Tribolium castaneum: one gene and its partner. The protein of the gene in region 2 purifies or fractionates together with the protein of the main gene of each other region. This does not show direct contact. Links are inferred from orthologs where the notes say so. Each region holds a gene or a part of one and is shown on either strand. Other genes may lie near its edges.

Region 1 (3,314 bases), on a different chromosome or scaffold from region 2:
AAATAATCAAAATTTTTTTGTGGGGTGCTATGTAATGTCAAATTAAATTTTGTATTAAAACATATTATAATATTAACCTACCATTTTAATATTTTTTTCAACATTAGCTATAGTTTTATTTTTTCTGTTATTTTTGATAGGAGGACTTTTCCATAACATAATTAGTTTTGTTGGCAATTGCCATTTGGAGTTATCGAAGTCTGACTGTATAAGAAATCGTAGAAAAATTCTGGAAACATTCACATGCATAGAAAAAACAAAGTATTTAATAGCAAACCCCGACTTTTGTGCAGTGATTAGTTTTTGAGATGCCGGAAAAAAGACGACTCTTGTAATGGTTTCATTAAATAAGTGTAAATGGAGCAGTCGGTTATTTGTTCCTGATTTTTTAGTCGTCTGTATCAGAAAATAAAAAAGTTACATCCCTACTGTCAGTAATAGGGTGGGTACAATTACTGGAGTCTTAAAAAATAAATTAGTGCGATCATGTTTCCTGTTACATTTTGATTTAGATCCTCATGTAACGATGATATTTTTGGAAACTTAAATTGCTACGTACCGTCGTAACAATTACGAGTGACATTCTACCAGTTGTATTTTTTCCTGTATCTTTTTTGATACCGTCTATTTATGGTAAATAACGGCTTCTCGAATGGTTGTATTGTGTAAAGTATGGGTATAACACGGGATAGGGGTTAATTAATAAAGCGAGACGTTCTTAAAATAGTCGTTTATTAATACAATTTATTACATATTTATTTTGATAATATAATACTATCTAAATTTTTGCACTCTTCACTAAAATATTTTCTATACAGGAATACTTTCAACAGTTGGTGGAAAATTTGTATTAGATTAATAAAAAACAACAAACAGCAAATTGTAGAACTCCGCCTTAAACCCATTCATAACAATACTCTTGTCTAATAAATTAATTAAAAAAATAGTTAATCACAACTTATTCACACTTTTGCTTAACAGTGGCAATAATCATATTAGTTTGGTGTATGAGGTAGAGTGCGCTAATGAAAACAGCGTCGGCACTGGAAAAAACAACGTAACAGGAAACGAAACAATGAAAACCAGCCCACTTACAGTCCTTGTTTAAAATACTCTTTAAGCGTGTTGCTGAAGCGTTTGGAAAACTTGACAAACTCTCTTTTGCGCTGCTCTAGCGCTTGTTTGCCAGTGGTTCCGGGAATGAACCCATTGACTTCATTTACGGCATCTAGTAACCTTTTAATGGCACTTGCGATTTCCCTGAAAACTCCAATAAACAACAAACAATCAGCGGTCAGCAACGTACTTGATCGTTTCGAGAAACGTTTTTCTGTCGTTGATCTCGTCGGGGATTCTGCTAAGAATGCGCTTAAGCGCCGCCGATTTGCGGTTGAGTTCCTGGAAGGCGTCTTCTGACCTGTTCAGTCTGTACTCTACAATTAAAATTAACACAAAACCACTAGAAAATCCGCTCAAATACCATCGGTTTCGGTGGCGGCGCCCTGCAAACGCAGGATGCTTTCGTTTAGGTTGACCGTGAGGTCCCCCTTTCGCATGATACCCAAAACAAGCTCATGGGTGAGGCCGGGACAGGAGGCTTCGGCTTTGGTGAGGGCGGAGCGGAGGGTCTGCGACGCCGATATGTCTTGCTTTTCGAGCTGGAATTTGTCGAATTACGCTTTTTGAACCGTTTTTACGCAATTACCTGGGAAAGGATGGGGCGTATCAGCACGGGAAGTATCAACGATGTGACCGGTGTTTCATCGCCCATTGTCATATTTCTCGGCTAGGGGTGGGTGGTGTGACGAAAAATACGTTGTTTGCGGGGCCCAACTGATAAGATAACGAAAAAATTTCAAGGAACAAGGTAAATATTTTTCTTAACTGTCAACTGTCACCGTTTGACAGGAAACTTGGCGTGACAAGTGCCCGAGTGTGTGTACGTTCGAATCACTTTTTTCTAATTATGGTCAACCGTTTTGGCAATTTTTTTCATAAAATGTGATTCCGTGTTTGACTTCCATGCAGTGCTAGTGATCTTTCGTTTTTTAACGGTTTTTGAGCGAGAAATTTTTTTCGGTTGTTTGCACAATCTGTCACACCGTTCTCCTAACCTCAAAAACCTGACTTGAAAAATGTGCAACAAACGTGATAAAAACAATGAAGAAGACGAAATGGACTCGGATTCGGACGATTCCGACGTCAGCATGTCCGATTCTGACGAAAACGAGTCTTCTGATGAAAACGAGTCCCCTGATGATCAGAATGAAGCAAACGGGGGGCCCGAAGAAGAGGAGGAAGATGAGGTGATTAAGGCCATTCGGAGCGCCGCTGAGAAGAAGCGTGACCACCCCCCTGTTATCCACTGCGAGGATTTTATAACGGATATTTCGTTTCACCCCCAGGAGGACTTGCTAGCTGTTGCGAGTATCGTGGGCGATATTATTCTCTACAAATACTCTAACGAGGAAAATTCGATTATTCGCACGTTGGAAGTGCATACGAAGGCTTGTCGAGACATTGAGTTTAGTGGAGACGGTGAAAGTTTATTTTCCGTGGCTAAAGACAAGACAATTATGATAAGTGATGTTGAAAGTGGGAAATTGTCCCGGTTCTACGACGAGGCGCACGAGTCACCGATTTATAGTCTTTTGGTGATTGATGAGAATTTGTTCGCGACTGGAGACGACGACGGGTGTGTGAAACTGTGGGATTTGCGGCAAAACGCCTCAAAGCCGATTTATCGAACTAAGAAAAACGAGGATTATATCAGCGATTTGGTAACGAACGAGGCTAAAAGTCTTTTGTTGTGTTCAAGCGGCGATGGTTCTCTTACAACAATAGATTTGAATAATCGAAAAATTCACATGCAGTCTGAAGAATACGACGAGGAGCTCACTTGTCTCGGGCTTTTCCGGTCGGAGAGTAAATTATTGGCTGGGTCGTCCAAAGGCCGATTGTTGCTGTATAATTGGAATGAGTTTGGGCTACATAGCGATATTTTCCCAGGGACTAAGTCCGCAATTAATGATTTGATTCCAATCACTGAAAATATCGTCGTGACTGCGTGCGAAGATGGGGTTTTAAGAGCGACGCATTTGTTCCCTCACAGACATCTAGGCATCGTGGGACAACATGACTTGTCCGTTGAAAAACTAGATATTTGCAACAACGGACAGTTTATTGCCTCCAGTAGTCACAACAATGACATCAAGTTTTGGAACATCAAGTATTTCGAAGATTTTGAAAAGGTTACCCATAAACATAAAAAGCATGAGAAGAAGAGGGAAATGCAGAATAATTTGCCCTCCTCC
Region 2 (3,925 bases):
CACCCCCCCCTTAAAATTGGTCAATTTTTAAAGTGTCTCAAAATCAAATAAAACCTATTCTATCCTATAGATTTTGATGTGCTCTTTACGATCGAACAAACCGTTTTCTTCTAGCTCTTTTAGTTTGGCCGTAATCGGCGTTTGAAAATTGAAATTTTTTTTGCGAGATATCGCCTTAAGTCCTATGCCATTTTGTAGAGTTTTTTATTCCGGTTATCCTCCATTTTTCCGTTTCTCTATATCTTTAATAGTTTCGCCGTAATTGGCGATTAAAAATTGAAAAAAAGTGAAAATGGAAACCTTTTTTTGCGTTTTTCTCGGAAACTGTAAGACTTAGAGCAACGAACAAAAAACCATCTGATAGCGCTTAATTTTGTCTAATTTCTCGACCAAACCCGGAGCCGCTCCGGGCAACGGTTCCGGCTACAGAGGCGATCAAAGTTTTTCACTAAAAAAATTCATAAAAAAAAAACTAAAAGTCGTAGAGCATTGCGGTTTGTTCGGTTGAATTCTACGGCTCATTTTACATATTATATCGATTTTTCACAAGAATTAAAAATTTAAAAATTTTTGCCTAAATTTAGGGTAGCCATTTGTCATAGTGAAAAATTTTATTCATTAAAAAAATTCATAACTCGAAAACTAAAAGTCGTAGAGAAGTGCGGTTTGTTCCATTGGATTCAGCGGCTTTTTTCCTTTATTATACTAATTTTTCACGCAATTTAAAATTTTCTATTTTTTTGCTCAAATTTCCTGAGTATTCTTGTACCTTCAAAGAGATGAAAAAAAAATTGTTAAAAATTGTTGTTAAAAGTCCACAAAAAGTCCATATGTTCAATTTTTTGATGTTTGATTTTTTCAATTTTTGTCGCGATTTTGGTCGATTTCGGGTACCCGGAACATTTCTCGAGCAATAGCTCCGGAACTATTAGAGATAACCCCATGAAGTGTATTATCGTTGGAAAGCTCTTTTAATTATCTATCTTTTTCAAAAAGACTACTGTTCTCCGACTAACAGTTTTCGAGAAAACTGGAAATAAAAGCAAAAATAGGTAAAATTTTAAAAAATTCATATCTAAAAAACTGTTGGGAATTTTGCGATTTTCTTGACGCCAATCGATTCAGCGGATCATTTTACATAAATTTACATCAAACAATTTTACATATATATTTGTCGTAATTGGAAAAAAAATTCCAAACACAAAATAGCAAACGTGTTATTTAGTTATTGAGATACAGAAAAAAAAATCTTTTAACAAACTCATCTTGTATGAGTCGAATGTAATGCGCAACAGAAACTTTCCTTGACTTTTAAACGTTGTGAAATAAAAATAGTATGTACATAATTTAGATTTTTTAAAATACAAATTATAAACAAAAGAGAAATACCAATTTGTTTAATATTGTTGGTAAAAAATTTGGAGGCTTTCCGGAACAGTGTTTAATTTTTTCATTTAAATGTAGTGTTAAAAATAGCACAAAAACGGGTGGTCCCACTTAACCTTCCGAATTCAAATAATAATAGTAAAAAAACAGTCTAGTATTTGCCGACTTGGCCCAACTCCAAAACGACAAAAATCACTACAAGTCCGAGCAATTAATCAAAATTGGGTTCAAAATGAGCCGTTTTCCACCTTATTATGTGTTTATTTTTTTTAAATAAAAACTGGGCTTTTATCGTTATCATTCTTACGTCAAACAAGAAATATCAATTACAAGTCAATTACCATCAGTGTTATTTTCGACGATGCTGGGGCTGGCTTTGGCCTCCCTCCCATCAGGCATGTACAGTTTAAGCGTTGCGATAATGCACCCATGGGTCACCTTCTTGTTGTTTTCAATGACATCGACCCCAAACTGGACAATGTCCCCCGAACTGACCTCATGGTGCTCCGTCTCGGCCACCAGGCGATTATTGTTGACGAAAGTCCCGTTGCTGCTCTTCGTGTCCTAAACCGGGGACTTTAGTCACAACTCACTCCCAAGGGGGCCCTACCTGAAGGTAAAACTTCCCGTTCTCGTACCAGAGCACCGCATGGTGCCTGGACAGCACCTTGCAGTCGAAGATGGCGTTGGCGCAGGTGGCTTTGGCCTTCGCCACCGAGCGCCCCACCTTGACCGGCTGGTCCAGCAGAAGGGTGCGCTCCTGGAAGGGGTGCGAGTTGGGGCGGCAGATGAGCACGGCTTTGGCGAGCATCTTGGCGTTGCTGCTCTTTACCATGGGGGTTGGGTATGCGGCCACATTCTTCACCCAGATCCCGCTTACAACGACCATCGCCTGGGGTCAAGTGGGGGCAACGAGATTAATTGACAGCCGACCAAAGCAGCACACTGACACTCCACAACGCGCTACAACACAACCAACTCACCTAAAACGCAACGATTTGGGGTTTTAGAGCGATTTTCATTTACTGGGTGAAGATATGTCAAAATTTGTGGGCGTGAAACTAGCTCAAGAACTAACGCAAATCGTACCAATTCTACCACATTTTTTGCACCCGAATCGGACCAGTTCGATCGCACCGACACCACGCACGGGATTTACATTTTTTACGAGGGGTTTTTTACCAAATTTATTGCAAGTTTTTATCGCGCAGTGACATTTTCGAGCACAAAGACAAGGCTGTGTTAGGGATTTTCGCCTTTCACCAGAGTGGCACCTCTGACCTTTCACCACCTAATTTCACGTCAAACGATTCGTAAACAGAAAGTTAGGTTACTTTAACGACAAAAACTTGAAAAAAATGGCAAAAAACACACCGGGGGACCGCGATAGCAGCCCCGATATGGAAATCGAGCGCGACCACAAGCCCATAGTCATACGCAACTCCACGGACTTGCAAAGACTCAAACTGGAAAAACTGATGAAAAACCCGGTAAGTGGCCCCTGAGAGTTGTTAGCATTGTTATAAATTGTGTAGGAGAAAGAGGTGATCATCCCCGAAAGGCCCAAAGAGCGGGGGGTTCCCGTGGTGCCTGATTTTGTACGTAATGTCATGGGGAGCAGCGCTGGGGCTGGTTCTGGGGAGTTCCACGTCTATAGACACTTAAGGAGAAAAGAGTACGCGAGACAAAGATACATGAAAGAAAAGGGCGAAAGGGTAATTAATTTGAATTATGCCTTCGTTATTTTTGAAAAAAGTCTTTAGGAAAAGTTGGATAACGAATATCATGCCAAACTTGAAGAAAACAGGAGGAAAGCGGAGGAAAGGACGGCGAAGAAGAGACAGAAACGACTAAAGAAAAAGCAAAAAATGAAAAAAAAGCCGAAGTTAGGCAGTAAGTCTTCACAAAGTGAAGCAACCGACAGTAGTAGCAGTGAAGAAGTTGAAAGTGAAGAATGTGAGAAAAAGAACGAAGAACAAACGCCAAGTGAAGACAGTAAGCCTACAAAGGAAGAAAATACAGAAGATCGGAAGGAGGGTGGAAAAGAAGACGCACCAAAAGAAACTCCTGATAACACTAATGACGAAATTAAATAAAAACCAAATAAACGTATTTTTAATTATTTGCCTGTTTTTTGTTATTATTTGATCATGCCTTTTCTATGGAGAACTGTAACTTATGAGACGAAACGAGATACATAAGTCGTACTATTTACGTATTTTTTGTATGCTATGTGCTAACAATAAAACAAATAAAACCTTTTTTTTTAATTGATTGCCCATTCTTATGAAAACAACTGCGTTCTCTAGCGACCTTAACGGAACTATCAGGGAGAGGAACGTTTTATTTGTAGGTGGCTTCGTATCCTAGCCTTTAAATCTCCGTAGTCCTACCTCTCTCAGTCCCCTAATTTTTTTATTTAAAAAAAATTTGTAACGTAAAATGGTGATATAACTGTTTGAGTTGCTTTCAGCGTTAATTTCTAATTCAAAGCATGTGTTCAAAACCCATTTTGTTCAAAACTATCATAGTGACACAA

What was found.
Region 1: the proteins of Slmap (region 2) and Ccm3 purify together in Homo sapiens (affinity purification with mass spectrometry; 3 studies listed by BioGRID and IntAct, counting the BioPlex papers as one, with this or other methods). This does not show direct contact. The link is inferred for Tribolium castaneum from reciprocal best matches to the Homo sapiens genes SLMAP and PDCD10.

What each region holds. Positions count from the first base shown.
Region 1 is NC_087398.1:11,643,592-11,646,905, forward strand, and holds Ccm3 (programmed cell death protein 10), read right to left. Parts: upstream 1,915-3,314; 5' UTR 1,778-1,914; coding exon 1,706-1,777; intron 1,659-1,705; coding exon 1,481-1,658; intron 1,434-1,480; coding exon 1,307-1,433; intron 1,261-1,306; coding exon 1,096-1,260; intron 1,044-1,095; coding exon 959-1,043; 3' UTR 716-958; downstream 1-715. Other genes in the region: WD repeat-containing protein 55 homolog, read left to right, coding at 2,136-3,314. UniProt on the Homo sapiens protein: Promotes cell proliferation. Modulates apoptotic pathways. Increases mitogen-activated protein kinase activity and STK26 activity. Important for cell migration, and for normal structure and assembly of the Golgi complex.
Region 2 is NC_087399.1:2,656,070-2,659,994, forward strand, and holds the start of Slmap (sarcolemmal membrane-associated protein), read right to left. Parts: upstream 2,616-3,925; 5' UTR 2,476-2,615; exon of another isoform or gene 2,370-2,475; 5' UTR 2,276-2,369; coding exon 1,997-2,275; intron 1,951-1,996; coding exon 1,728-1,950; intron 1-1,727. Other genes in the region: PRKR-interacting protein 1 homolog, read left to right, coding at 2,745-2,876, 2,922-3,101, 3,150-3,482. UniProt on the Homo sapiens protein: Associates with the striatin-interacting phosphatase and kinase (STRIPAK) core complex, forming the extended (SIKE1:SLMAP)STRIPAK complex.